Linked DNA regions of Rhinolophus ferrumequinum. The protein of the gene in region 2 purifies or fractionates together with the protein of the main gene of each other region. This does not show direct contact. Links are inferred from orthologs where the notes say so. Each region holds a gene or a part of one and is shown on either strand. Other genes may lie near its edges.

The links.
Region 1: the proteins of OCIAD1 (region 2) and SLC6A8 purify together in Homo sapiens (co-immunoprecipitation; 3 studies listed by BioGRID and IntAct, with this or other methods). This does not show direct contact. The link is inferred for Rhinolophus ferrumequinum from reciprocal best matches to the Homo sapiens genes OCIAD1 and SLC6A8.

Annotation. Positions count from the first base shown.
Region 1 is NC_046284.1:6,728,798-6,743,603, reverse strand, and holds the start of SLC6A8 (sodium- and chloride-dependent creatine transporter 1), read left to right. Parts: upstream 1-8,454; 5' UTR 8,455-9,067; coding exon 9,068-9,329; intron 9,330-10,956; coding exon 10,957-11,088; intron 11,089-12,083; coding exon 12,084-12,333; intron 12,334-12,791; coding exon 12,792-12,924; intron 12,925-13,880; coding exon 13,881-14,015; intron 14,016-14,097; coding exon 14,098-14,201; intron 14,202-14,289; coding exon 14,290-14,414; intron 14,415-14,806. UniProt on the Homo sapiens protein: Creatine:sodium symporter which mediates the uptake of creatine. Plays an important role in supplying creatine to the brain via the blood-brain barrier.
Region 2 is NC_046288.1:7,730,298-7,745,202, forward strand, and holds the start of OCIAD1 (OCIA domain-containing protein 1), read right to left. Parts: upstream 7,651-14,905; 5' UTR 7,432-7,650; intron 7,415-7,431; exon of another isoform or gene 7,249-7,414; intron 6,053-7,248; 5' UTR 6,048-6,052; coding exon 5,987-6,047; intron 5,564-5,986; coding exon 5,483-5,563; intron 1,538-5,482; coding exon 1,484-1,537; intron 1-1,483. UniProt on the Homo sapiens protein: Maintains stem cell potency. Increases STAT3 phosphorylation and controls ERK phosphorylation. May act as a scaffold, increasing STAT3 recruitment onto endosomes. Involved in integrin-mediated cancer cell adhesion and colony formation in ovarian cancer.

The DNA.
Region 1 (14,806 bases), on a different chromosome or scaffold from region 2:
TCTCTTCCCCACCCAGCAGCCAGACCATTCCCTTTGAGATCAGTCACCCATGGGCTACAAACCCTCCCATGGTTTTCCGTGTCACTCCAAAGCATGAGTCCCTACAGTGGCCTGAGGACTCTGTACGATCAGTCTCCCTTCCCCATCACTTCTCTGGCCCCTCTCCACCCACTTTCCCACTTGCTCAAGTAGCTCCAGCCAACTCCAGCTACACTGGCTCCCTAAGTGGCCCTCCAACACAACATGCATGGGGTGTGTACCATACATGGCCCCAAACACACAAACATGCACCTGCCCCAGGGCCTTTGCACTCACTGCCTCTCTGCCAGGAATGCTCTCCACTCATCTATGTGCTTGGCTTGCTCCCTCACTCCATTGGGTCTCAGCTCAAATGTCACCTCTTCAAACAGGCCTCCCCTGTCCGTCCCCGCCCCGCCCTGTTTGCAGAACAACCATCAATGCAAAATCACCTTCTGTGTCTTTTCCTCACCAGAGTATCCACTTCCCAAAAGGGTCTCTGCTGACCCAGCCTAGGGGAAGTGCTCAGGAAATAAGTGCTGGGTGACCGAAATCAATCCTTCATCCAACGAGTGGATTCCTCCTACCCAGTTCCATTGGTCCTGATGCCCCTCCCAGGGGGTCCAGGCCTCACCAGAGATGCGGAATGGGTGCCCTGGCTGTTGACAAGAACAGGTCTACACAGGCCACAGCTGTAGGGATCCAAGGAGTCGCAGGGTCCAGGAGTGACCTGCTAAATCCATCTTCCAGGGGTCTCCTGGCATGAGAGACAAAATCTTTAAGAGGGTCCATGGAGCAGGCAGAAGTTTTTTAAAATCATCTTTCCTGACCTCATCTCTCACATGTACTCTGTCCAAAAATCGGTAAGTCTGAGAAGGCCCCCTCCAGTTCTTATCCCCCCACCTTTCTCAATTGCCCCTCCCAGTTCACTCAAGGAGGCTCCAGGAGCCCCCGCACTTGGCTGCACGGGCCCCACTCCCAACTGCTCATCTCTGCAAACAAGGTTTCCTAGGGCTTAGAAAAGAGGAGAGGGCCTGATAGTGAGCTCCACCTCATGCTGGCAGTAAGTCCTATTGGACACAGACTGGAACCCATCTCACTTGCTCGTTTGATGATTATCCCGGAAGAAACATGATCAGAGTCCTGTGGTCACAGGCAATAAAAAGAAATGTAACTTACATACATTTACGTTTTGGAGAAGTACGAGTGAGGAGTAACAAAAGACTACCCACGTGAAGAGAGATGGCACACAGAGACTTCTCTGAGGGGCAGCAGACGAAAAGTGGAGGCAGGAATAAAAGGGCCCACTTCCAAAGTGAGCCTGAGCAAACAAACTGCCTGGCGCAGAGTTTAAGATGGACATAGGTATCAATTTAGCAGGTGATTTCGATGCTATTGGCCTCGTGTAAAAAGTGATATCACAATTTTTGTTTGAAGTCAGTATTTACAATATACCTGAATTACACCCTTCACAACTATTTACATATCTGTTGAAATATTGTATTAATAGATGTAAACTTCAAAATGGATGTGTGTGTGTGTGTGTGTGTGTGTGTGTGTGTGTGTTGGGTAGTGATGGATAAAGAGTTTTTCAAAATCCTTTCAGGAGACCCTTTACAAAAAACTTAACTCAGGGCCCGCTGGTGGCTCAGGCGGTCGGAGCTCCATGCTCCTAACTCCCAAGGCTGCCGGTTCGATTCCCACATGGGCCAGTGGGCTCTCAACCACAAGGTTGCCGGTTCAATTCCTCGAGTCCTGCAAGGGATGGTGGGCAGCGCCCCCTGCAACTAAGATTGAACATGGCACCTTGAGCTGAGCTGCCGCTGAGCTCCCGGATGGCTCAGTTGGTTGGAGTGCGTCCTCTCAACCGCAAGGTCGCCGGTTGGACTCCCACAAGGGATGGTGAGCTGCGCCCCCTGCAACTAGCAATGGCAACTGGACCTGGAGCTGAGCTGCACCCTCTGCAACTAAGACTGAAAGGACAACAACTTGAAGCTGAATAGCACCCTCCACAACTAAGATTGAAAGGACAACAACTTGACTTGGAAAAAAGTCCTGGAAGTACACACTGTTCCCCAATAAAGTCCTGTTCCCCTTCCCAATAAAATCTATATAAAAAAAATTAACTCAAAGTGGATCATAGACCTAAATGTAAAATGCCAAACTGCTAGAAGAAAACACAAGAGAAAATCTGTCTTACCTTGGCTTGGTGATGAGTCTTTAGATACAATATGGAAAGTGTGCTTCACGAAAGAAAAAAATGACAAATTGGACTTTGTCAAAATTTTAAATGTTTGCTCTTCAAACAATACTGTTAAGAGAAAGAAAAGACAAGCCACGGGAGAGGGGGAAACCTTTGCATTTCCTGATAAATATGTAAAAAATGACTGGTATCCAAAATATATGAATACATGGAACTCTTAAAACCCAGGGGGTTAACCCAAGTAAAAAATGGGCAAAAGATCTGAGCAGACATGTCACCGAAGAAGAAATACAGAGAGAAAATAAGCATATGAAAAGATGCTTCGCAGCAAATGAATGAGGGAATTGCAAATGAAAACACCGAGATACCACCACACACCTATCAGGCTGGCCAAAACCTGGAACACCGATAACACCAAATGCTGGTGAGGATGTGGAGCAACAGGAACTCTCATCCATGGTTGGTGGGAATGCAGACTGGGGCAGCCACTCAGGAAGAGAGTTTGGTGGTTTCTTACAAAACTAAACACTCTCTTACCATAAGATCTGGCGATCCCACTCCTGGGTATTTACCCAAAGGGGCTGAAAACTTATATCCACAAAAAACCTGCAGCTTTACTGGATGTTTACCACAGCTTTATTCATAATCAGCAAACAGTGGAAGGAACCAAGATGCCGTTCAGTAGGTGAATGGATAAATTGTGGTCCATCCAGATAACGGAATACTATACGATGATAAAGAGGAAAGAGCTATGAAGCCGTGGAAAGAAATGAGTGAGTCTTAAATATATATTGCTTTGCTAAGTGAAAGAAACCAGTCTGAAAAGACTGCATACTGTACAATTCCATTTATATGACATTCCAGAAAAAGCAAAACTATAGAGACAGTGACAGATCAGTGGTCGCCAGGGGTTTGAAAGAGGGGGTTAGTGTTTGACCAAGGGAAGCCTGGGGGTGTTTAGGGCCATGAAACTACTCTGTGTGATGCTGTAATGGTGGATATGTGGCATTCTGCATGTGTCAAAACCCAGAGAACTAGATGGCAGAAAGAGTGAATTTTAACACATGCAAAATTAAAAATAATATTTCAGGAGATTGGGGCACCCCAGGAAGGAATGAGGACTGTGACCAAAGAATCTACGTGTATTACAAATGTACAAAAGCACCTCCCTGAAGGGGGTCCGGGGAAAGGGGCTGATCTAGTCACTTTGGAAATGAGTGGGGTCTGTAAGACCAAAGGCAAAAGGAATGGCATGTGGGCACTGAGCTCTAGTTGACAACATTATTCCCCACAAGGGGAAGGGGTGACAATTCTGAACCCGCTCTACATGTGCACTGGAATTAGACAGTTAAGTAAATGGAGGGCAGAGGGTGGGAGCCAGATTTTTCAGTGTTGATGTGGGGAGAGACAGACAAGCAAGGGGAGGTACTAGAATGATCTATGTGGTGATGGATCAGAGCTGGAGACATCAGTATGAACTTATGTTTACCTTAATATAGATACAGGTGCATATAGATATATGCATCTCTATGTATGTATAAGAAATACATATATAGGCCGGCCCGGTGGCTCAGGCGGTTAGAGATCCATGCTCCTAACTCTGAAGGCTGCCGGTTCAACTCCCACAAGGGATGGTGGGCTGCGCCCCCTGCAACTAGGAACGGCAACTGGACCTGGAGCTGAGCTGCGCCTTCCACAACTAAGATTGAAAGGACAACAACTTGACTTGGAAAAAAGTCCTGGAAGTACACACTGTTCCACAATAAAGTCCTGTTCCCCTTCCCTAATAAAATCTTAAAAAAAAAAGGAAATACATATATATATGAATGTCTGTAGATATGGGTATATACATAGCTTAGTATATACATAAATTTTCTTGCTGCCAGCTGAGAGAGCCTACAACGAATCACACCTCAGTAACAATGAGTACATTAGATCTTGGTTTCTAATACCTTTGTCCAATAAAGGGCTCTTTGGAGAAATGGCTGATTCTAGGGCTGGGGCAGGAAACAAACAAGATGAGTCTGAAGCTCCTTGTAGTGCCAGAAAGCAAGGAAATGTCCTCTCCTCTCCTCTCTTCTCCTCTCTTCTTCTTCTTCTTCTTCTTCTTCTTCTTCTTCTTCTTCTTCTTCTTCTTCTTCTTCTTCTTCTTCTTCTTCTCTCTCTCTCTCTCTCTCTCTCTCTCTCTCTCTCTCTCTCTCTCTCTCACACACACACACACACACACACACACACAGTGATGGGGTACGACAGAGACGCACAAGCCAACTGAAAGAGCTCCCAATGGCCAAGCTGGAACAATTTGAGCAACAAAATAAATAGAGTAGTATTGGATCATAACCAAAAGTATAAAATAAATATCCAGTTATAAATAGGTGATTAAATAATAAATAAATGGGGGAGAAGAGACAAGCTCTGTGCAGAAAATTCCAAATAATTTATATAGGTACTCACCCAACCCCCAAGGGCAAGCGTTACCCCCGTCCTCAACTGTGGGCTGCAAATGGTGACTTTGGTCCAAAGAGGACAGGCTGCAAAGGGGGCGAATTACATTGAAAGTGGAGACACCTGATGAGCAAACTTGAAGTCAGCCAGTTGAGCAAGATTGACATGGGCAGTGGCAGTCGTGCTGAGTGCATGGCACCTTGCTAGGATGTCGTGGGAGGGCGCTTCACCTCCGTGGTCCTCCTTTCCATAGCCATCACCCCAGCTACTCGGGACAGAAACAGCCGGCAAACCCCCAAGGAGCAGTCCCCCATCCGAGAGGACAGTCACAGCCAAGAGGAATCTAAGGAGACGTGACTCGTCATTACTGTCTCCTTAGATTCCTAGCAAGACGAATGCAGTGTGGGATCCACAAAAGGACGTGAGGGTCCAGCGAAGGCACTCTGCACAAGTCAGCGGACTTGAGTTCACCACAATGTACAATAGTGGCTGATCATTGTCACAAATGTACCAGGCCAATGCATATTGTCAGGTGTGGGTGCGTCGGAACTCTCCCGACTGGCCCTGCAATCTGTACATCTAAAACGATTCAGAAATTTTGTTACAAGTTTATTTCAAATAAAAACAAATGTGACAATCCTTTCTGGGTCTGTGTGGATAAGCACAGCAAGGGGTGCTGTGCAGGGGTCGGGGGGCAGGTTGCCCCTCCTCACCCCCAGCCCGGGGTGGGGGCCTGGCGCCATCCTCCCTTCCCCAGCTGTTCGAAGCACAAAGCCCTTCAAGGTGGACTCCAGCCTTCCCTTTGTTCCCAGCTAATTCTAATTCCAGAGCTCCTTGTACCCACAGTCTCCAGCAGAGGAGCCACACCCGCCTCCAGCTGCTGAGGTCCTCTCGGATTAACTGGTTGCCCCAAGGCGGGGCGCCCTCCCATCCAGCCCACTGTGCCACCCGGTGGGGTCTGCAGCCCTAGTCGTTGTGAGCAGTGGGTCCGATTCCCAAGCGTCCCTGGACAATGGGAGGCCCCCTTCCAGCGCTCCCTCCCTCCCCACCTCCTCCTGGCTCCTTCTCCAAAACCCCCCACTGCTTAACTGGCCTCTGAAAGGCTGCCCACTTTGGCTGCTGCCTGGGGAACACTTTGCTTCTCACCCAGGAGCTGCAGTAGGGCCACCCCCAACCCCTCCCGCATGTGCTCCGGAACCAGCCTTGAAGGTCTGTGGTTACAAGGACCTGGCAGGACAGGTGGAGGCTTAGATGTGGCTGCCAGGGACAGCTTCCTGGCCCTCTCAGCTGGGGTCCTGGGGCGTCCTCCCCAGCAGCTGCTGTCCCCAGGGAGGGGTGCAAGATACACCTTCGCAAAGCCCTGAGAACCCAGGGCTGGAAATCCCTCAGCCGTTGTTTCCCTTGAGTGCCCAGCACCCCTGATGAGCTGCCCCTGGAATATTGTAGCTGTCCCTATCAGCTGAACCGCTTCCCCAGGCTGCGAGGGTCAGCATTCCAGCCTCCAGCTCCCACTTCGGGAAACTCCGTCTTAAGCATCCAGCCAGAGGCAAGGATGGATTCATGAACTTTGACCACCTCACAAGCCCAGCTGCCCTGGCTGGGTAAGGGAGGGGGTGCAGGTTCGGGTTCGGGTTCGAGGGCTCCCTTGCCTCTCTCTTTAGCCTCCTGGGACAGGTGGCAGCTGACCTGAATCCTACAGGATCAGAGGGAGGTCAGCAAAGAAGAGGCACCCCAGGCAGTGGGCCTCAGCATGGGCCAAAGGCAGGGAGAGCAGGGAGGGCATGGACGGCTGCCCCTCAGTGCTGGGGAGCCCGTGGGCCAGCTGGTGCCCAATCTCGTAGCCTTGGAGAGGAATTGAGCTTGATCCCTAGTGTGGAGAAAAGCCCAAAGAAGAGCAGGTGGGGAGGCACTGGTCTGATCGGTGCTGCTGAGAGAAGCATGCAATGCCTGGGCCTCGAGGAAGAGGCCACTGTGGGGTCCAGGAGAAGGGGGGTGGGGGGAGACTGGGAGAGGAGGAGGGGGAGGGGAGATGTGGCCCTGTCTGGGGGCCTGCTGCACCTCCCAGATGTGTAAGCCCTGGCTCCAACATGGGAGACACCCTTTGAAGGCAGCAACCTAGAGCAGTGGGAGCCTGGGCCCCAGGAATCCCAGAGCTCACACAGGCCATTGGCAGCAGCCACCTTCAGCCTGGCCACCTCCCTCGCAGGCCACTTTCCCCATGTGCCATCAGTTCACCCACGTCCTTCTCCAGCTATTGCTTTCTGTCCCCACCACACTCCTTGGCCAAGCCTGATCTTCAGTTCTTGAAAGAGTCCCCTGCATCCAGACACGTCCTCACTTCCCCTTGCCTCTCCCTGCACTGTCTGGCCTCTGCCCACGTCTCCCCATCAGAAGCAGCCCTCACCCAGGGGGCCTGCTGCTCCAGGCCATCTATGGGCACTTGTCTGTCTCCAGACCAGCTTTAGTCCTAGGCTGGGCCAGAGAAGACTCAAGTTAGGGTCTTCTGATGAGCAGTGCCACCTCAAGGGTCCCCAAGCCCCCTGTGTCCCCCCACATGCCTCTTGAGGCTCCTCCAGCCAGCATGGGTGGAGATGCTGCCCCTCCCTCACCTAGCAGGCTCAATCTGGCTCTGACCGGAACTGCTTTTCTTCCTAAAGCCGCTGGATGGCTGAGGGTTTAGCTTAACGGGATGAGCCATCTGGGGACCGCAGCACAGTCATCAGGGAGCCTGGGACTTGGGGTGGGGGGGAGTGGACACTTCACATATTCAGTCAGGACAATGATCCCTTCCTTCCCCACCCCATGGCTGTTCTTGGCCTTGGAAAATTACAAACAGGCTGCTCAGCTGCCAGTGGAAAGGCAGCTGAACAACCTTGCTCTTGCTGGGGAGGCCTGGAGGTCCCTAGGGAGAAGAGTGCCAGGAGTGGGGAGCTAGGACCTCCCAGCTGAGGCCTTTGGGGAAGGGTCTGTGCACCCAGTAGGCACCAGGGGGCAGCCTTACCCAATTCCTGTCTGTGTCTTCATAGGGTCTGGCAGGGGTGGGGGCAGCGGGGTTCCCTATGACACCCACCTTGGTGAAATTGTGTAGACTTGTGCCTCAGCTAGGCGGGCTCCCCTCTGCCCCTTGGAAGACTCATAGAGATCAGTCACCCCAAGAGCTGGGACCTTGACTTCCACCTTCCAGGGCTGCACCCCTTGGGGAAGGCTGAATGCCCAGAGGAAGCACGGTGGTAGCTGTGGCAAAACCTAACAGCACACCTGCAGGCAGACATTCCCACCCCCAGCCTTCCCTTGCTGGCCAGCTGGGCCCGGCCCTTCAGGAGGCCAAAGCACCCTGCACCCCCTCTGGTGCTCAACACTGGCCCAGCCCCCAGCCGGGAGTCAGAGAGGGGCCAGAGATGGTACAGGCTGGAAGGAGGGGGAGAAGGAGAGAGGGGGCCAAGGATGGCTGGAAGGCAGCGAGGGAAGCGGCTGTCCTACAAGCGGGAAGGGCAGGTTACGAGGGGCGATCTGGGCCGGCACTAGGCCCAGATTAACCTGGGGTCTGGGGCGGTTTGGCCCCTGGGGAGGAGATGCTGGCGGGCGCCCCAGGTAGCAGCCATCCTGCTTCCCGCAGGAGCGGCGTCTCGTCCTCGGGAGGAGGGCGGGAGGAGGTAGGCGGAGTGATGGGGAGGGCGGGAGGGAGGGAAAGACGGAGGAGGGGGAGGGGGAGCGGCCCAGTCGTGGGGGTGGGGCGACGGTGACATCACCGCGGAGTCGGTTCTTAAGCGGCAGCCGGTCAGGCCGGGGAGGAGAGGGACGATCGGAGCGCGGTGGCGAGTCGCTGAGCCCGCCGCGGCCCAGAGAGCGGCTGGAGCCGCCGCCGCCGGGAAGGAGGGGCGAGAGCGCCCGGGCCGCAGCCGCCGCCGCCGGAGCCGGAGTCGCCGCCGCCGGAGCCGCGGGCGAGCCAGGCAGTCGCGCGAGTCCGGGCCGGGGCGGGGGGCGCGGGCCATAAGCCCCTGCTCCGGCCGCTGCTTGCAGACAGTGGGCGCCCAATGTCTCCCGCGTCCCGCTAGGCTGAGCCTCGGGCCGGGCGAGCCGCCGCTACCGCCGCCGCCCGAGCCGCGGGCAGGAGCCTCGGGAGCCGCCGCCGCCCGGCCGGGCCCCGCCGCCGCCCGCGCGCCCCCGGGCCCCCGACACACATGAGATTCTTCAGGCTCACTTTCAAGTGCTTCGTGGACTGCTTCTGACCGCGCCGCCCGTCCGCCCCGCACCCCGCCCGCCGCCCGCCCGCCCGCCGCCCCGAACCCGGCCCGGCCGCCACCGGCCCCCGGCCGGCCCGCGCCTTCGGGGCCACCGAGCCGCCGGCGCTCCCCGCCGCCCGCACCCCGGCCCGGCCCGGCCGCGCCGCCAGCCGGGGCCATGGCGAAGAAGAGCGCCGAGAACGGCATCTACAGCGTGTCCGGGGACGACAAGAAGGGCCCCCTGATCGCGCCCGGGCCCGACGGGGCCCCGGCCAAGGGCGATGGCCCCGCGGGCCTGGGGGCGCCCGGCGGCCGCCTGGCCGTGCCGCCGCGCGAGACCTGGACGCGCCAGATGGACTTCATCATGTCGTGCGTGGGCTTCGCCGTGGGCCTGGGCAACGTGTGGCGCTTCCCCTACCTGTGCTACAAGAACGGCGGAGGTGAGCGCCCCCGCTCCTACGCGCCGTGGACCCTCCCCTGCCCGCCGCGGGCCCCACTGCGCGCCCCACAGGGGCGTACGGGCGAAGTCCAGAGGGTGGGGAAAGCCCCCAGGGTGGTCGGGGCCAGGGCCACCCCTCGCCGGCAGTGGCTGCTCGGTTGCCCAGCCTGGCGGCGTCCACCCCCTGGCTGGTCATGTGCCTGGCAGTGTGTGGGGGGAGGGAGCCAGGGAGCCTCCGGCCCAAGCCGCGGGGCTGCCCCCCCAGACTCCCGGAGCTCCGGGATTGGCCACTGAGGTGGGAAGGCGAGGCCTGCCCCCTGGGGGGGCTCCCAGAGGTGAAGAGCCCTGGCTGCCCCCGCCAGTCAGACACACAAGTGGCACATTGTGTGGGCCCCCCACGTGTGCACACACGAACACACACACACACAATGGGCCACTCTGTCCCTCCCCCTCCCCTCCCTTCCCCTCCCTTCCCTTCCCCAGCTCCTCTCTCTTCCCTTCCCCTCTCTCCCCTGCCCTCCCTTCCCCACCCTCCCCTCTAGCCCGGGCCTGGAACACTGGGTGCCTGAGCCAGGCTTGGGAAGCCTGAGGCCTGGGCCGCCCGGCGCTGCCGCTGGACACACTGCATACACACCCCATGCCCACTTGACTGCCCCAACCCAGCTTAGCAACAGCGATGGGCACGCGGGTCCTGTGACTGGAAAGCAGCACCAGGGTTGGTGGAAAGCCATGATGACTGGGTGATAGGTGGGAAACTGAGGCCCAGGGTGAAAGCGTTTGCCCAAGGTCATACACAAGAAGGATGCTGGGTCCAAGAGCCAGGCAAGCTGCTGAGAAGCCCAGCTTCTGAGCAGTGGAGACAGTTGAGCCAGGGGCAAGGGGAGAGGACCTGTGGAGGAGGGGGGAGTACACAGGGGTCTACTGGGGCCCAGCTCCCCCCACCCCAGGCCTGTGGTCTCTGGCCCTGCCCTGCATGCTGCCTCCAGAGCCGGGTGACCTCCCCTACAATGTCTGTCATCGCTCACTGACACCTTCAGACACCACCCCCCCAAGTCCACTGGCAGAGGACTGCCACCCACCCACCCTCTTCCCTGGACCTTCGCACTTGTAGGAGAGCGTGTAGGTGCAGGGAAGGCAGGGGCTCCCTACCCTCTCCCAAGCCAGGTAGGCCTCTGGGCCTGAGCGCCAGCCATAGCTCACACACACACATGCACACACATGCCCTCGCCGCCTTTCCTTCCTGTGCTGCCTGGCAAATGTGGAACTGCGACATGAGGGATGGCTTGTGTGTGCAAGCACGTGTACCCTCCATGCCCGTTAGGTCACCCTAGATGATTGTGGAGGCAGAAGCCTTGTGAGCATAGGAACCACCGCCCCCCCCCAGCCCAGGGAAATGGGCCACAGCACCCCTTCAATACTCCACCCCCCAGGGCTGTTCACCTGGGGCCCTCTGAGTCAGTGGCCACCCGCTGCACTGATTCACTCAGTGGGAAGTTATGATGGAGCTTGGGTGGAGCCTGGAGCCGAGGTTCCACCCCAGCCTTCCAAGGCTTCTGAAAGCTGGGCTGGGCCTGCACAGCCTGGCTGGGGGTTTGGGTCAAGTCCTCGGCCTGTGTCTCCTCCCTCAGGTGTGTTCCTTATTCCCTACGTCCTGATCGCCCTGATCGGAGGAATCCCCATTTTCTTCTTGGAGATCTCGCTGGGCCAGTTCATGAAGGCCGGCAGCATCAACGTCTGGAACATCTGCCCTCTGTTCAAAGGTGAGCAGCCTTGGGCCAGTCCCTCTCACTCTCTCCCTCAGGGTCCCCTCCCCTTTCCAACGGCTAGGGCAAGGCTGACACCCACCTGAGAAATCTCGGCCCACTGATGGACGCCCCCAGTCATGAAGGGGAAGCTGTCGATCATGGCGGGAGACCGCCCATGACCTTGGGCGGGCTGGGGCTAGAGTAGGGGATTGGATCCCTTCACCAGGGTGAGGACACCCAGGCCCAGCAGGGCTAGGGACAGACCCTGTAAACCACACTTGGCTCCCTGGGGCTGAGTGGAGAGTGGCTGGGTGCGAGAGACGATGGCTGGAGAAGCTGCCCCAGACGAGCTTTCCCAAGGCTAGAGGGCCAAGTTTATATGGGAGCCTTTGAAAGTTCAGATCTAAAGGGAAGAGCTAATAATGGCAGAGATCACCTTAGAGCCTCTTCTGTGTGGGGGCAGTGTTCCCCTATCATCTCTCAAGGCCTTGGGAGGAAGGTTTTAGTGTCCCTGAGAGGCTGGAACACAGAGAGATAAAATGATTGGCTGAGGTTGCCCGCTTAGAATGTGACTGACTCCCACAGTGCCCCAGCTCACCAGAAAGTCCCCCAAGCTGCCGAGTACCGGAGGCTACAGGGGACCAGATGGAGGCTTGGCCCTCCTTCAACTGCTGTGGTGGCAGTGAGACCCAAGAGAAGGGGACAGGTGTGTGAGACTAGGGAGTCGATGGGACTTAACGCTCAGATGGGGGCAGGGTGGAAGGGGCTCTGCCTCGGGCCTCAGGAGGCTGCAGGAGGCGAAGCCATGAGCAGGGGCTGATGTTTGGCCAGGGACATATTGGGGAGTTAGCCCAGTATTGGGACACTTGCCCAAGGGAAAGTCCAGGGGCTTGGTCAGGAGCGTGACAGAGAAGGACCTAGTGTGATGGATGGATGGTGAGGAGGGGGAGGACGGCAGATGCAGGGAGCAGGCCAGAAAAGACTCTCCACCGAAACTGCCCTGTTCCTAGGCCTGGGTTACGCCTCCATGGTGATCGTCTTCTATTGCAACACCTACTACATCATGGTGCTGGCCTGGGGCTTCTACTACCTGGTGAAGTCCTTCACCACCACGCTGCCCTGGGCCACGTGCGGCCATACCTGGAACACTCCTGACTGCGTGGAGATATTCCACCATGAAGACTGTGCCAATGCCAGCCTGGCCAACCTCACATGTGACCAGCTTGCTGACCGCCGGTCCCCCGTCATCGAGTTCTGGGAGTGAGTCAGGCGCTTCTGGGCCAGGCCGGGCCTGCCCCTCTCTCTGGGCTCCAGAGGTGGCCCGAGTCTTCATGGGGGGATTCGCAGCAGGAGTCAGTCCTGGGCCCTGCCTGCCCTAGGGAGAGACCCCTCAGCCTAGTCCTGGTGGGAGCCGGGAAGTATGGGCCTTGCTCCATCAGCACCATTTCTCACTCTGGGCACCGTCACTCTGTGGTGCCAGCCAGCCTGGGGGAGGGGGATGGCTGCCAGCCCCACCGCCTCTGCCCAGGGACTCCTGGGCGCCAGGCACATACTCTGTGATGCCTCCAGGCGGCAGGCTTGGGCCGGGGCCCAGCCCAGGTGCTGAGGAGGGACCAGCTGGACACAAGGGCTGCAGGAGGGAGAGCACCACCCCTGGAACAGCTCCTAGTCGCTTTGCTCTCTGCTGGCACAGCCCTCATGGGCTCTTCCTCCCCTAGGAGGAAAGTCTTACGGCTCTCCCGGGGGCTGGAGGTGCCAGGGGCCCTCAACTGGGAGGTGACCCTATGTCTGCTGGCCTGCTGGGTGCTGGTCTACTTCTGTGTCTGGAAGGGGGTCAAGTCAACAGGAAAGGTACAGCTGGAGGCGGTGGGGGGGTGTCTGCCGGGAACCATTGTTGCACCGGGTGGTGACCGGACCAGGGTCTGTGCCCGAGGAGGGGGCGGGTACTTTAATCCAGGCCACTTGATCCCCACCCCATGGCTGCACAGTCCTCCCAGCCTCCAAATCCAGGCCCAACAATCTTCCCTCCCCAGGGTGAGGGACCCAGGCAGCAGCTGCTCTTTCCCTGTGTCAGGGGTCCCCGTCCCCACCCTCCATCCCCATTCCTTCCTATGCCTCACTCACTATCTGAGTGTGTTTGGACGGTCTGGGTGGACCTCTCCTATGGCCCTCTCTGTCCCCCGACTGGCCCAGGTGGGAGTAGACACATGCCTTCCCCAGAAGCTGCCTGTCAGGTTCGGGAGACGAATGTGTAAACAGATGCATAATAGGACAGTTTGCCGAGGGCCGTGCGCCGTGGCCAGGTCCCAGGAAGGCTGGCACATTCCCAGCAGGGTCCACAGAGTAGCTGCTTCCAGAGCCGGCGGCCCCATTGGGCGGGAGGCAGAGGCCTTTGCTGTCCGTGTCACTCTTGTCTCTGTCTCTGGCTGGTCCACTTCTAATCCCAGCTACCAATGACCCCACCTCTCTGCATAGGATAATCTCGAGTCGGACACAGGAGGTGTAGGGCCTGCCCCCAGGCTGATGTCCCACTCCTGGCCCCGGGACGGCCCTGCCTCTGCCCTCCCTCTCAGGTTACATGTGCTTCCCATGGGGTGCTGGTGCCCCAGAGGAGCACCTGGCTTCCTTTGGGAGGAGCCATGGCTCTGAGGAGTATGAGGGGGCTCTTCCCCCTGGCCTCCCTCCTGACCTCTGACCTCACTGTCCAGTGGGGGGGACGTGGCCTGCCGTTCTCAGGCTGCCCATGCTGGGGGCTTCTAAGGAGAGGTGGGTGCTGTAGGGCGCCTCTGAGCACCCTCGCCCTCCAGATCGTGTACTTCACTGCTACGTTCCCCTATGTGGTCCTCGTTGTGCTGCTCGTGCGTGGAGTGCTGCTGCCTGGCGCCCTGGATGGCATCGTCTACTATCTCAAGCCTGACTGGTCCAAGCTGGGGTCACCTCAGGTGAGGTGGAGGCGGTGGGGTGTATACGGGGAACCAGCCCAACAGGACACTTCACACGTACTCTTCCCTGGCCCATGTCCAGGTATGGATAGATGCCGGCACCCAGATTTTCTTCTCTTATGCCATTGGCCTGGGCGCCCTCACGGCCCTGGGCAGCTACAATCGCTTCAACAACAACTGCTACAAGTAAGCACCCCTTCCCTGCCCTACCCTGCCCACCCGTGGGCAGCAAGCAGGCATCCTAACCAGCCCCCATGGTCTCCTGTGTCCCCAGGGATGCCATCATCCTCGCGCTCATCAACAGCGGGACCAGCTTCTTCGCTGGCTTTGTGGTCTTCTCCATCCTGGGCTTCATGGCTGCAGAGCAGGGCGTGCACATCTCCAAGGTGGCAGAGTCAGGTAAAGACCCCTGGGCCCCAGCCTGGCCTCTGGAGCAGCAGCTGCTGTCCTCACGTACCACGTATAAAAACGCACATGCAAATAGACATTCTGAGAAATGAGAGAAGAATTCAAACTCAACTTGTCACATCGCTCTGGGCCAGAGGCAGGCCTGGATAGCAGCTGCAAGGAAGGCACAGCTGTTTCAGCCAGCCCAGGGCTGAAGCCCTCGTGGGCCAGGCCACGTGGAGCCTGAAGCCCCTGGCCATTCTTCCCCAGAGGCCTCGGGATATGTTCTCACATTTGCCAGAGTGTTGCAGAGGGAAAGGAAGGCCTTCCCAGGGTCTATAGTGACCAGAACTCCAAAGCACACACCCCGCTCTAATGGGTGGAGGTCTGCCGAGGGCCTACAG
Region 2 (14,905 bases):
TCCTGGTTCTACCTGAGCTAGTCAATGGACTTTTCACTCTTTCCTGTATGATTTTGCCAGTCTAGCCATATCAATCTCCTGACTGTCCCTCCCAATAATCATGATTATTTTGATAATCAGGTCCCTCCTTCCTTTTGATACTCTTCCTTCTCACCCAAATCCTGCCTATGTTCAAAATCCACTTCTTTCAAAAAACTTCCCTTGATCATAGCAGCTCTGCAGAAATATTTCTTCTTTAGCTCTTGAAGTCTCCACTACATAACTTTGTAGGTTATTAAATATTTAATTATATTCTCGATTTGCTTCACATTGTGTTCACATTGTTTGTTCAGATGAACTACTAGCAGCTCTTAAATTTGTTTTGTAAAATCCCCTCATGACTAGCTCCAATCATTATTAAATGACTGGATTAAGATAGATAAAATGGGCAGTACAATAAGACACTATAATTTCTCCGTTCATAACTCCCTGTGCCACAGTTTTTCCTTAAAAGTAATGTGATAAAAATGTTGTTTCACACTATAGAAACAATCTTAGTATATCAAACAACTTAGTCCTAAAGCACACTTAAGTGAACATGTATCTTGTTTCCATTTTTAAGATTCCTATTATGGTAGCACTTTGTAATGAAGTTCTTGGGAATACTTTAAATAAACAAAATTTGAACTCCCCAAATCCTCCCATTTCTCTCCTAAACTACTTTCTCAACTAGTTGTGTCAATACTATCTAAGTACTACATACTGCTAATGTGAAAAGGCTAAAATTGCCTATCACAGTCAGGTTTTAGGAGCTAGCTAAGAGAACAGGGTTTTAGGATATGTGGAGGCCATCCTAGGACATCTTCTCATTCCAAGGGAATAATAGTTCACAGAATAAATGCAATGTGCATTTAATTTTAAGATGCAGAGATAATTTTAAGATACATTTAATACTTACTCTAAACTCAATTCCACACATGGAATACACTGTACTATTTAAACCAACAGAATTTGGGACAAGAAAATGCCCCCTCCCCCCATTATTGTAAGATAAAGCTAGTTTAGGGAGCCATTCATCTTTAAACCAGTGCATAAGAGTTACCAGGAGTTTGTTAAAAGAATTCCTGGGCCCAGTGAGAGTGTGGGATGGGCCCAGGAATGTGCATTTCAAACCTGCTGCTAAGTAGCAGTGAAGTAGATGGCCTCCCTAGGCCAGGTTTGTCTCTCTACCCCTCAGTAAACCATCCAAAGATTTTACTTTCTTGCTCTTACAGACTCTTAGTGTTGCTACAGGGCAAGAGGATATCAAATTCTCAAATCAAGATATTTGTGTCAGTCCATGAAGATGTAAGTCTTCTGATGTTGTAGAAATTTATCAATGATGTTTAATGATACATTATCATGATATGATACATTATCATATTTACTTTATCTAAAACTCAGGAAAAGAACATAAAAATATAACATCCAAAATGCTACATAAATTCAAATTTTAAGTATTTACCTTTACTAATTAATCCTTGAGTGATCAACATACTCGTTGCAGCCAAAGGCACAGCTATAGGAGAAAAAAGAACTTGTCAACATCAACAAAAGATTTTGTCTGAGTTCATTAGGACAGAAAAATATATACCAGTAAAACCATCCAGGAAGTAGGTCGCACAATTAAGATCTTTAAAAGAGATTTTTCCATTTTTAAAAGCTGTAGTCTAGTCAGTAGAAATACAAAAGCAGCATTTTAAATTTAAGAAAACATTACAAAATATTAATACAATTCAAGAAGACCTGCTTGCAAGTTATTGGCTGATGTCTGGAAACTTGACTAGTAAACAGTTCCCAAAACCGATACAAAACTTTATCCGAATAAGTGGCTCACTGTTCCTAAATGGCTTGTACAAATATTTTATGCTGAACACCTGCTTTCCTTCTGATTCTGGAATTTTGGGACCTGCTAGGCTGAGGATAGGTATATAACCAGCCCCCAGTAAAAATTTCAGGTACCGAGTCTCTAATGAGATCCCTTCCTAGGTAACACCTCAAAGGTGTTATTACAACTAACTAGCAGCTAGAGACATTTAGCACATCGTGTGTCTCTTCCTCCCTCCCTCCCCTGGAAGATGACTCTTGGAAGCTTTTGCCCAGTGTCCTCTGGACTTCACCCCATATTCCTTTTTGCTTTACTCATTTTGCTTGGTATCCTTTCCGCTGTAAATTGTTTTAAATTTAAACAGTTACATGTGGCTGCCACATTGGATAGTGCAGTTCCAGACCAGAGGTTGGGAAATGGTCTGGAAAGAGCAAGAAGGTAAATATTTCAAGTTTTCATGGGTCAAACAGTCTGTGTTCCAACTATTCAAATGCCATTTTAAAGCAAAAGCAATGAGACAATACATAAAGAAATGAACATAGCTGCGTTCCAATAAAATCTTTTTTATGGCTGCAAAATTAAAAATTTAGGCAGCTTAGGCACAGTGAGCCACTTATCACTCAGGGAAAGTTTTATATCAATCAGCATAGGGAACTGTTTATCAGTAATTTTAACATATAACAAAATATATTCTTTTGTTTCCATTTAAAACCATTTGAAAATGTGAAAACCAAATTTAGCCCTTAGGCTGTAGTTTGCTCAACTCTGGTCTAGACTACATATGGGCAATTTAAGAACGAAGGTAATTAAGACATCATTAGAGTTCATGATTAAAATCTGTAACTTTGAAATAGGGCATTAGTTTTGCCATCAGAAACAATTTGCAGAAACCCTAAGGTTTGAATCCTCACTCTACTACTTACTAACAAATATTACCTATCAGGAAAAATAGTTTCTGTATTGTTGGTTGGTTAGAGTGGCTTCATGTATTATTATCTAAGGTTTTTCAAAGGACAATTCCCTTTTGATTACAGCATCAGTACAATTTGCAACCATTTTTCTCCTTCAACTTGGTTCAAGGATTGCAACATGAAGAAACATACACGGATGAAATGATGAGTTAGCTATGAGTTAGTTGGCCATCTCTCCAATGGATAATGCTTTCCCTATTTCACTTTCTTCTTAGACGAAGACGGTACAATGCAAAGAGTAACAGTCTGTTTACGGAGACTGTAGTACTATTAGGTTGGTGCAAAAGTACCATGTTTCCCCAAAAATAAGACCTAGCCGGACAATCAGCTCTAATGCGTCTTTTGGAGCAAAAATTACTATTAGACTCGGTTTTATATAAGACCTGGTACATTATATTATATTAATTATGTTATATTATACCCGGTCTTATATTATATCATACAAGACCGGGTCTTATAAGACCGGGTCTTATATTAATTTTTGCTCCAAAAGATATATTAGAGCTGATTGTCCGGCTAGGTCTTATTTTCGGGGAAACATGGTAATTGAGGTTTAAAAGGTTAAAAATAATTGCAAAAACAGCAATTACTTTTGCACCAACCTAATAGTTATGATATTTATCACTATGTCTTCTCATAAATCTCTTCTTTTCATGCTATAAAGATTAATAGATTAGAAGTAAGGTCTCTTTCCAACTCATGTATTCCCCCACAGGAAAAGGGAATGGTAAAATTGAAAGGGACTTCAGAGCTTAGTGTCTAGTCTTCATCCTAATCAGAGTAAATTGATATCCAGAAAGGACAAGTCATTTGCTCAAAGCAATAGCCATGGTTAGTTCGTGGAAGAGCTTAGATCAAAACCCAAGTCTCTTGACTCTCATGTCAGTGGCCTTTTCCACTATACCAGGAGTACCATTTCAGAGACTGTTAAATAATGTCTTAGGCAAACTGCTGACACTGCTGTCCAAAAGCTGTTTTGTATTATGACCATGGTCCCAACCATATCCAATACAAGGACCCCTAAAAATCTTTTAACTCTTCTTCACTTACAATAGCACAGTGCTATTCTAAATTACAATTGTTTTCAATTGAAATTGTTATTTCATTAATCACAATAGCACCAACGACCATTTAATAAAAGATAGCTTAACATTTATATAATAAATTGAATTAATCCCCATAACAATTAAATCAGATGGGTTAATTATTATCCCCATTTTACAGATAAGGAAACCAAGGCAAACACAGACATCAGGATCTTGCCTGAAATTTCACAATACGTGTGGAGGTGGGATTTGAATCCAGATAGTCAGGCCTGTGCTCTTATCTCTCATTACACTTACTCACTTGAAAACCAGGAGTACACATGTATAAAATATCATTCACAAAGATCTATAAATGATGCATGAAACAACTATGAATTCATACACCTTTTCAGTAATTCCAGAGGTTGAGAACTGTAACGTATAATACGCACTAAACTAACCCCTCTTGTGTACATTCTTTCATTAACTGTATGTTTGGCACAGCTACAAATGGTGTTGTCAGTGCATAGGGTCACAATTATAAGTAACTGCAAATAAGATGCCTTCAGAATTATGCTTTAAAATTAACAGAAAGGAGATCCCAGTAGAAATAAAGTCACCTTAAGGAAAAAAATGGACCCTAGATCAACAAGTCTAATTTTAAACCAAGATGAAGATAGCATTTAACAAACTTAAAAACGTGTAAAAATTACCTTAGTAAGTACTTTTTCCACACATTCCTACTTTCATCACAATCTTTGTAAATCAATAAACACAAAACTCTCCATAGAAATATGGATTCCATTATTCTTATTAAATACATGTAAACATCACAAATACGTAGAATATCCTTATTTGAAGAAACAAATGGAAAGTAAAAAATTTTCTAATGCGTGATTATTAGTCTGTCTCCTTATAATTATATGTTGAAAGCATAAATACCAGGCTGACTGATGAAAATGTCCATCCTCTTTAATTACCTAAGTCACCCCATCCTTTAAAAATTCCATCCTGCTTTTTTGTTAGAATTACCTTATCTGAAAGGACTGCAATGACCAAGTGAAGGAACACCAAGGGTTCTGTTCAAAAGTAAGATAACGTTTTATGTTTCTTTCAATAGTTTCTGTATTTAAAACAATAAAATCTTCATGTATAAAGTCTCTAGTCAGAAATCAAAAGCTGGTAATGTAATAGCATTTCAGTATGATTAGTGGGAAGTAATCAGTTTTTATCATGTAATGATTAAAAGTTAAGAGTTAAAACCATGAGCTTCTGTGTCAGACCTGGCTTCAAGACATCATGACTTAACAGCTGTGTAACATTAGATAACTCGTTTCACATCTCTAAACTCAATTTCTTCATCTGTAAAGTGAAAGTAATAGTTATCAACCTTATTAAGCTTTTTAAAATATATAATCCATGTACACTCAGTAAATGCTATCACTATTACCAACAAAAATACTTGTCTTGAGAAAGTTCTAGAAATTTATTACTTTAAAATGTGTACAATTCTATTTCCTTAATCAACCTCTTTTAGTAATAAACACACTATGCCAAAAGTGTGCCAATTTTTCTATACGAAGTCATTAAAATATCAGGTATTAAAGGTCAAATTTTGTTGATTAGAAAATGTAACTTACATCTGAACCAGAAGCTTTCATCATTGCATTCTGCGAAGACCCTTCTTTCTTCCTCTGTTGGAATGTAATCAGCCCCTATGTCTTTTTACCAAGGAAAATCGACAAACATTAAAACACCTATGGAACAACTAAGTCTAAAAAATTATCTTATTTTATACATTAACAAAACATACCCATTTTTTTAATGAACTAATGAAACAACTGGCTTGAAATCCTTTAACAAACTTTGACTTCAAACAGAAGTTAATGTTACTATCTGCTAGTTAGAACTGACTACATAATGTGCTATGTCCAGTGCAAAATGAATATTTGGGACCCCTTGTTCAAATTATTAAGAATTTCAAGATGGCAACAGATCATTAACAAAGTGTGGGTCCCTGTGTGACTGCACAGGTCATATACCCAAGAAGCCAGCCAGCCCAGCTACTATACTGTTCCTCATGGCAGTAAAAATTTCTCTACAGAGATCGTGCTTCTAATTATAAATACGTAATTGATAGTTACGAGGAATTGGTCTTGGAACATCTTCTGCATTCCGCTCTCGAAAATCAGCCCTCCCATTCATCTTTCCTGCATCAAAAACATGTATATTTAGTATCAGAAATAATTATGAAATAGGTCGAAGTCAGGATATAGTACAGCAAAATTACTAGTCAACATGGCAATCAATCAACTAGTATTTACTAAACACTATGTCTGAAATACTTGACATATGTAATAAAGTTACCTAAATAAAAAAGTCACAGACCTATTAACTAATTTGGAAATGACTAGTCATCTTAGGTTCCTTAACAGAAAAAAAAAAAAAGATGCTTTATAAGTATAGTATTTATCAACTGATTCTATCGTTATTAAAAGGACATCAATAAAACAAGACATAGTTTTCCTCCTATCACTGCTTTATTTCACATTATCCTATGTTTGGATCCTTTCAAAAATATATGCTCAATGATTAGGTTAATTCCCCCAAATAAAGGAGGGAAAAAATCTCAAAGTCATTCCATTAAAAAAAAAATCATCATCATCAGGAAACACACCTCTCCCACAAAACAACTCTCTCCAAAAATGGAATAACAAAGACGTCATGTCCTTTTCCCAGTGGTATAAAGCTAATAGCAAATTATGTATCCTCCAAACTTTCCTCCCTCCCCAAATGAACACTTAGAGAAACAGGACACGCAAAAAACGCACAGCATTTCAAGAACATACACCTTTATTATTGTTTTTAACCCATGGCTCATGACTTAAGAGACCAACAGATTATTGTGTATTTTACAGAATGTTCCCATAGAATCATGATTCTTCCCAAACAATTTACATATAAACGGTTAATGGCCTACATGAAGAGGGTAGCAATTTGGGCCCTTCCATAATTTACGTACTTATTAAGCCATCATTGAGGGCCTAAGACATGCCAATTCCTTAGCTAAGGAAAAGGAACAAAAGGGTGAGATGAATTCATGGATGATGGAGTACGCTTAACTGAACTACTTAAATCCCAAGACAGCCGTAAAAAAAATGAAACCCTCTTATTTCCCAAACAGCATCCTACATAGAAACCCTAAAAAGAGACTATCAAGGCCGACACGGCCCCTTTGGACAGTATCATTTTCATCTCTTAAATCCCAAAGAAAAAAACTGAATTGAACCCACGTCGTCCCGCCATCGTCGATTCCCGCACTCCATCCCCCATCTACTATATCTGCATATCCAGCTGCAACTCCCCCAAACGCAACCGTCACCAAGAATGTGTCCCATCCACACACCCCAGAAACACTCCCTCTCTTCCCCAGGTCACCGAAACGCAGGAGCCCGAGACCCAAAGCGCGATCGGTCCAGCCTCGCAGGCAGGAAAATGGCGGAAGGTGCAAGGTAGCAACTGGAAGCGCTGAGGCGGTGAGTGGGTAGGTGGGGGGGCGGAACCGGGCTCTCGGCCTCAGCTCACCCACCTCGGACGACAGCGACAGGCGATGGCGCGGCGAACCCGGGCGATCAGGGGCAGAAGGCCCGGAGGGAACCTAAGAGGAGTCAGGAAGGGGGGAAAGCGCGGGGAAATCGGGAGGCGAGTAGCACCACACCAGAGGTAGCGGTGAGGCGCGGACAGCGACTCCGCAGTCCAGAAATCACCCCGATACGGGCACAAAATGACCGCAACCCGGAAGCACTAGCGACCTACGGACGGAAAAACGTCAGCTCCCTCGGCGGTGTCGTAAAGCGAGTAGTCTCGGAACGGCCGGCTGCGCCTGCGTCTCGCTGCGCCTGCGTCTCTCTGCACCTCCCAGTGCGTGACCCTCCGGCCTGCGCCCCCAGCCGCGGCGCTCACGAGCTGCACTGCGGCTGCGCTGGCCTCCGCGGACGGGGAGCCCGCCCCGCCCCTCTCCCCCGCCCCGGAAAACGGGGGGAAGCTTGGCTAAAGGCTGTTGTGACGCACCGCTCTGGTCTTCTAGTGACCGCCTGGCCGGAAAGTTCTGGAACCCCGCCCCCTTGCATCTCTTTGTTGAGAATTACCGATTTTTCTTAGATGTCTCTGCAGGCTTTACATAATTCATTCCGTTCCTCGAGCCTCCGGGCTAAGTAGTAGAAAGTAGTAATTACCAAGCCAGCGCACCTGGCTGCGTGCCAGACCGGTTTTGAGTCTAGCCTCTGACTACTTCTAGAACATCAGGCATGCTGGGTTACCTCTCTGAGCCTCAGGTTTTTCTCATCTGAAAAATGGAAGGAACACCTACCTCATAGGTGGTTAGGATTAAAGCAACACACCGAAAAAGAGGCTTAAGCACTCAACTGTTCTCTCTTGGAAGAGTTTATATTTGAATGCGGGGCTTGTGACTTCTGTGCATCAGATATCATGCTGTCCCACACCTAAACACCATTCGTTCACTTATTCATTTTGCACATACTGATTGCCTCCTATGAGCCAGGTACTGAAAGTTAATTGGTGATTTGACAGTGAACAATCATCCCTACCCCTTTGTTTCATCAACTAAAAACCTCTCGTCTTTCTGAGACCCTCTGCCTCTATCCTCCTTTCATTTTTGCTGCCTCTGGAGCTGCCCCACATTTATTCTCCCACAGATCTATTTAAGAGAGACAGCCTATAGTGATCCATGTAAAACACAAATCCAGTCCTGTAGTTCCTTCCTGAAAGCCTTTTAATTGTTCCCATCATGCACAGTACATAAGGCCCTTCCTGGCTTGGCCTGTGTCCTCTTGAGCCTCGCTTTCTTCTACTGTCATGTTCACCAATAAGAAACAGCCTGTATATTGTCTCCAGTCTCCCAGCTCCCAGCCTCCTCCTTGCCTTGTCAACTATTGATATTCAAAAATCCTGCTTTTACATTACCTCCCTTGTGAAGCCTTCCCTGAAACACAGTGGGGACAGAGCCCCAAAAAGCAGTTTCCAGGCTCTCGGCCTCACATAGAAAGGTGCTGGCTCAGGTAGTAAATGGCCATCAACTGTGATCGGATGGCCATCAGCTGTGGCTAGTTGGCCGTCAGCTGTAACCAGTGAGCCATTGGGCACTAATATAACTGCCATGGCTACGCTAGCAGGAAATGGGGGCGAGCAAGAAGATGGTGGCTGAGCCTGCAAGCGGCGCAGTGAGGGTTGAGAATTGTGTTGCTCCCGTTTCCTGTTTCTCAACCCAGCCGCCAGCGAGAGTATAGTGGTGTGACTCTCCTACCTATGGCTCCGTGGGTGTTCCTTTTTGGCCTCACCATGTCCTGCGTTCTTATGTGGGGAGCAGGAGCAGAGACCCCACCTGACACCCTGCACAACACATGGCGCAGTGAGCAGGGTCTCCCACATGACACACACCCCAGAAAATTAATCAGTCCTCCTTCTTAGTTAGCACCTCTTTGCTTTGTACATACTTCTATTACTACAATGTTGCTCTGTGCTGTGTTGATCCTCTTGCTTATGTCTGTCTCTGTTACAGAGCTTTAGGACACAGACCTTGGCTTATAAATCTTTACACTCCCAAATATATCTTACACTCTAAGATAATTAATGTTAGTCATTAATATTCATTTCATTCCTGGGACATGTCGAGCTGGTTCTGGGCTCAGGGCCTTTGCAATTGCTGTTAACTTCTTTGAGAACACTGTTTACATGAACTTGTCTCAGGTTGCAGCTGATGTCACCTGAGACACCTCATCAAAGAGGCCACTCCCTGATCACCCAATTAAAATACACTCCCATGTTACCTCATTTATTTTCATAGCTCTTATGATCTAAAACAATTATTTGTTTGACTGTCTCTCTGTCTCCACTCACTAAAATAAAAGATGCAGGAAAGAAGGAGCCTGTCTGGCATCAAAATGATTGGTACATAGTATGAAATCAATAAACATTTCGTAAATGAATTTGCTGAGTACATTTTTATAAGGGAAAAAACAAAAATAAGAAAATTAAAAGATATAATGAGTGAACTTTATGCTTAAAGCAAAATCTTTTCTGACTAGATTGTAAGATTCCAGAATCCTGTTTTATCATATTTTTTATATTCGGTGAGCCAGGCCTAACAAATGGTAGCTATTGATGAGTATATTTTCCGTTGCTCACATATTTCTCAGCATTCAAGTCAATTCATAAATTGGACTTCTACTGATGACAGGGTATGGTGCTGTTTGTGTCGGAACAAGTAAGATTCTAAACATTCAAGGTAAATTGCCATTTTCTGTGCTGGCATTCTGGCATTTAGAGGTATTGAGTCCATTGGTAATTTGAGCAATGCAACAAATAATTCATAAATTGGTAAGATCCAAACTGGAAGTTGATTCACATTTGATAGAGGCTACTGGATTTATTAGCCAATGAAGACTCTCAGTGCTTTAAATGTTTTTTTGCCCCCTTCTTCTACCTCCCTTCCCCCTCCTCCTTTCCCCTTCCCCCCTTGAACTGTGAGATAACCAGAAAAAAAAAAATCTACCTAGATTAAATTAAATCAACTCACTTCAATTCACGGAACTAAGATCTAACGAAACATCACCATAAGAAATGCCCACTTGTTAGACAAAACTTTTAAAAAATTATTTATAAAGGAATTATTTAGGGTATTCATTAATTCATATAAATGAAACCCGTGTAATAAATTCCTTGATTTCAGTGTCAAGAAAAATTTGGTTTTTCCGATGAACTCTGGAACTGCTAATCACAATTATTATTCAGCATATTTCCATTTATGCTTCCTGAGGGTAGAGGTTGTATCTTAGTCTTGGTATTCAACACATACTCATTCCTCAAAATGTAACGTCATAGAAGCCAAGGGAAGAGAATGTCCTAAGAAGGAAGGAATGTTCAGTCATATCAAATGCTGATAAGGACTGAGAACTAGCCATTAAATATAGCAATAAGGTTATTTATAACTTTGGCAAAAGTCGTTTCATTAACATCTACATTATAATGGGATGAGAAGAGTGATTGGGGATAACATGGAGAAAGATGCAGACTACTCTTTCCAAAAGCTTAGCTGTTTGGTGAAAGGAAGACATAGAATGGTAGCTGAGGGGAAAATAAAGAATGGATGAAGGTTAGTTTTGTTTTTGTTTTTTTAATTCCATAGAGACTTGACTGTAATTGTTAAAGGGGAAGAACCAGTAAAAAGAGAGTTGAAAATATGGGAGTGAGAAGGGATAATTAATAGCATAAGGTACATTTCCCAGCTGATATTCCGTGAATGTACCACAAGCATTGATCCATTCAGCCTTTGGGATGAGCTGTGTGAAGAGCTCCCCAGCCAATTGTCCGTAGCTTGAACAACCTTCTTTGAGGTCCTCTGAGGAGAGCTAGCTATGATGGAAATAAAGCCTAATGGCATGGCTCTGTACTCCGCAGGTGATGAGAGCAATGGACAACATTCAACTGTTCACCACCTAAATGTAAGAAAATTGAGCACAAGGGCACATTGCTGCTTATTCTGGGCAAGGAGCCCTTGGGGTTGCTGGAGATATTTATGTTCTAGTTGCTCAGGGAACATGGCAGGCCTGCCAAGGTGCAGCTGGTGAGGTGGAGATACAAGGAGACAGTACAGGGGCTCCTAGTGGTTCAGCTTTAGAGAGTTGCCCTGGGGAGCAACACCAAATCTCAGTCTTCATGGGAACTGGACATGTCTGGTCTTCTGTAGTTCATGTGTCCACTTCTGAACTTATGCTTGGACATACTTTCCTGGTGCATAATTTGTGCTTGATTTCCCTTTTACAGAAAAAGAGAAGAGAAACATCAATAAAATGACGGGCCCATTCGTATTAATATGAACCTAAAAACACTGAGTCGATTAGTATCTCTGAGATCCTAAATCACAAAAAGTTATAAGAAAGCATCTAACATAGGGTCTTGCCATTAGTTGACATGCAATAAATGTGAGGTTTAAAAAATTTTTTTCTTGAAGATCTGAAGTACTAGAAAGGAATTTGAAAAAAAAGTGAGAGAGAGGGGTAAGCAGAGATGTAGCCTACACTGTAAATTCCTGATTAACAATTGCAAAAACCGTGTTTCCCCAAAAATAAACCCTAGCATGATTTTTCAGGATGACATCCCCTGTACATAAGCCCTACTGCATCTTTTGGAGCAAAAATTAATATAAGACCTAGTCTTATTTTCAGGGAAACACGGTAGTTGTCCAGCTTTCCAATTAAAATTTAAAACAAGTTTATTTTTAAAGGCAATATAGGGCTTCTAATAATGAAATAGTCTGGTACTAATCAATGCTGTTCAGTGGCTGATAAATCCAATTACATTATTTCTTTGTTCTTTCTTAAATCTCAGCTCTAGCTCCAGTATCCTGAGTATTGTGTCCAAACATGAAATCTGCCTACTTTGTTGTAACTGTGCAAAAAGTCAGTTCTTTGTCGAAGGCGAGAGCAGGAGACATTTTTTCCACATCTAGGTGACTCTTTTGCGGAGAATCTTTTCACTACAATGAATATTTGAAAACAAAGACTTTCTGAATAGCCATCCCTGCTTTTCTTTCTTGGATAACAGTTTCGTTTGCAGGCAGAATGGTTGGGGGGTGGAAGGTGGGGGGTATCCTCCACAGTAGGTGACCCTTGCTGCAGTGCTCCTCATGCTGTCCATCAATCAGAGAACCATCTGTCCCACTTTAGATTTCAGGAGCCGTCTTGCACATCTGCTGTGCCTTTTCTAATGTCACTTATAAAACCTACTAAAAGCTATTAGATGAATTAGGGGAACCAGAGTGCAGCTGCATGTAGCTGATTTTAAATTTTTGCAGCTGGGTTCTACACATCACGCTCAGTTTCGAAATTATGTTTTATGTGATTAGAACCACAAAGTGAATAATTCATTTTATAATAACAACTACTAAGAGAGTGGGCCTTAAAATTCTGTTCTCTGAAAGTTTAAAAAATATTATATATATTTTAACAACTCTCACCAAATGTTTAAAAGTTAAGCCAAGGAAAGGTAATTAATAATACTTAACATTTGTTGTGCACTTACTATGAGTCAAGCCCTTTTCTAAACATTTTAGTACAATATTGTATGAAATCCTCACAACAACCCTGTGGATTGTAGGTACTATTATTCTCAGTTTACCAATGAGGGATTTGAGGTACAAGGAGGTTGAGTACTTATTCAAGTTTACATAGCTAATAAATGGTAGAGTCAGGATTTGAATCTAGCCCATGCTCGTATCAGTGTCTCTCAAACTTGAACATGCTTATAATCACCTGGGGAATTTGTTTAAAAAGCAGATTCTGATGGAGTGGATCTGAGATGGGAACGGAAATTCAGCACATTTAACATACTCCTAGGTGAAGCAGACGCTTCTGGTCTTAGGATCACGTTTGTATAGCAAGGATCCCCTACACACGGGTTCTCAACTTGGTTACTTATTAGAATCACCTGGACAGATTCTTAAAACTAGTGAGACTCATGTCGCACCCCAAACTAGTTCAAACAGAATCTTTGGGTGTGGGATCTGGGCAGGGAAGAAACTGGGGGTGGAGATGGAGTATTAAAACTGATTTAAATTAATTTAAAAAGGGTGGGGAAAGGGTAGTGTTGATAGTGGGCCATCAACCAAAGAGTACGATTAGTCTAATTCTGTGCATCGATGATCTAATTTTAAAAAGCTATAGTTTGAAATGGTTTTTTAAACATATTTTGTATATCTAAAGAAAAAGTAGAGATTTCTGAGTAGAGAAAAGGTAAACAAAGAAAATTATAAAGGTAATTTATAGAGAAAGGAAGAAAACCAACAAAGTATAAATTCCATTCCCAAAGTTGACAAAGAAAATGTTCTAATGAAACCAATAAAAATTGATTACTTTCTTTCAAATGTTTTCCCAAATTTAAATGACAAATGCTAAAGCCAGACATAACACTGTAAACTAATGAAATGTGGGTGTTCCTAATTTTAGAAGACAGTGATATTGTTTTTTGTGATCATTAATTTATAAATCCAGCATAAAATGTATACATCTAAATACCCACATAATAAAAAAATAAAATTGCTCATCACTTAAAATTAAATGATATGATTTTCTTCTAAATAAGTGCAAACGAAGCATATATGAATGGATATTTAGACAAATTTGGATAAAAGACAAGGGAGATTTCTGGGAAATCTTTTATATGTCTTCAAATCTATCTGAAATAAGTACCAGTATTAGCCATGTGAGGATTTAAATTGTTTACTATCTGTATATTCTCTGTATTAGTTATCTATTGCTAAGTAACAAATTACCCTCAAATTTAGCAGCTTAAAACAATACATTTTTATTGTCTCATAGTGTTTGTGGGCTGGGAATTCAGGAGTGGGTTAGCTATGTGGTTCTGGCTCAGGGTCTCTTACGGGGCGCTGGTCAAGATGTAAGCTGGAGTTACAAGGATCTGAAGGCTTTGCTTGGGGCTGGAGTCTCCATTTTCAAAACAGCTTACTCACATGGTTTCTGGCAAGGGCCTCAGTTTCTCTCCATAGGGCAGCTTGAGGGTCCTTATGATCAGACAACTGTCTTCTGCAGAGTGAGTTTTCCAAGAAAGAGAGAAAGAGGAAGAAGCTGTCATGCCTTTTGTGAGAGGCTATCACCATAACTTCCTCCATATTTTTGTTGTTGTTGTTAGAAACAAGTCATTTTGTCCAGCTGGCACTCAAGAGCAGGGGAAATTAAGCTCCGCCCCTTGAAGGGAAGCCTGTCAAAGGCTTTATGAACGTATTTTTAATCCATTACATTCCCTGTTTTTTAAAACTACAGCTTGTTATCAAGGTTGTCAAGTGGATGATTATGTGTTTTTCTGGAAAAAGTCATCTACCTTCCATATATTCAGTGTCTCACTTCCTATTCATTTCTCAAACTACAGTCTTTTACCCCCACTTTTCCTCTGAACTTCTCCAAAGGTCACTAATGATATTTCTTAGTTGCTAATTGAATTGGATACCTTTTACATCTTATTTTTATATC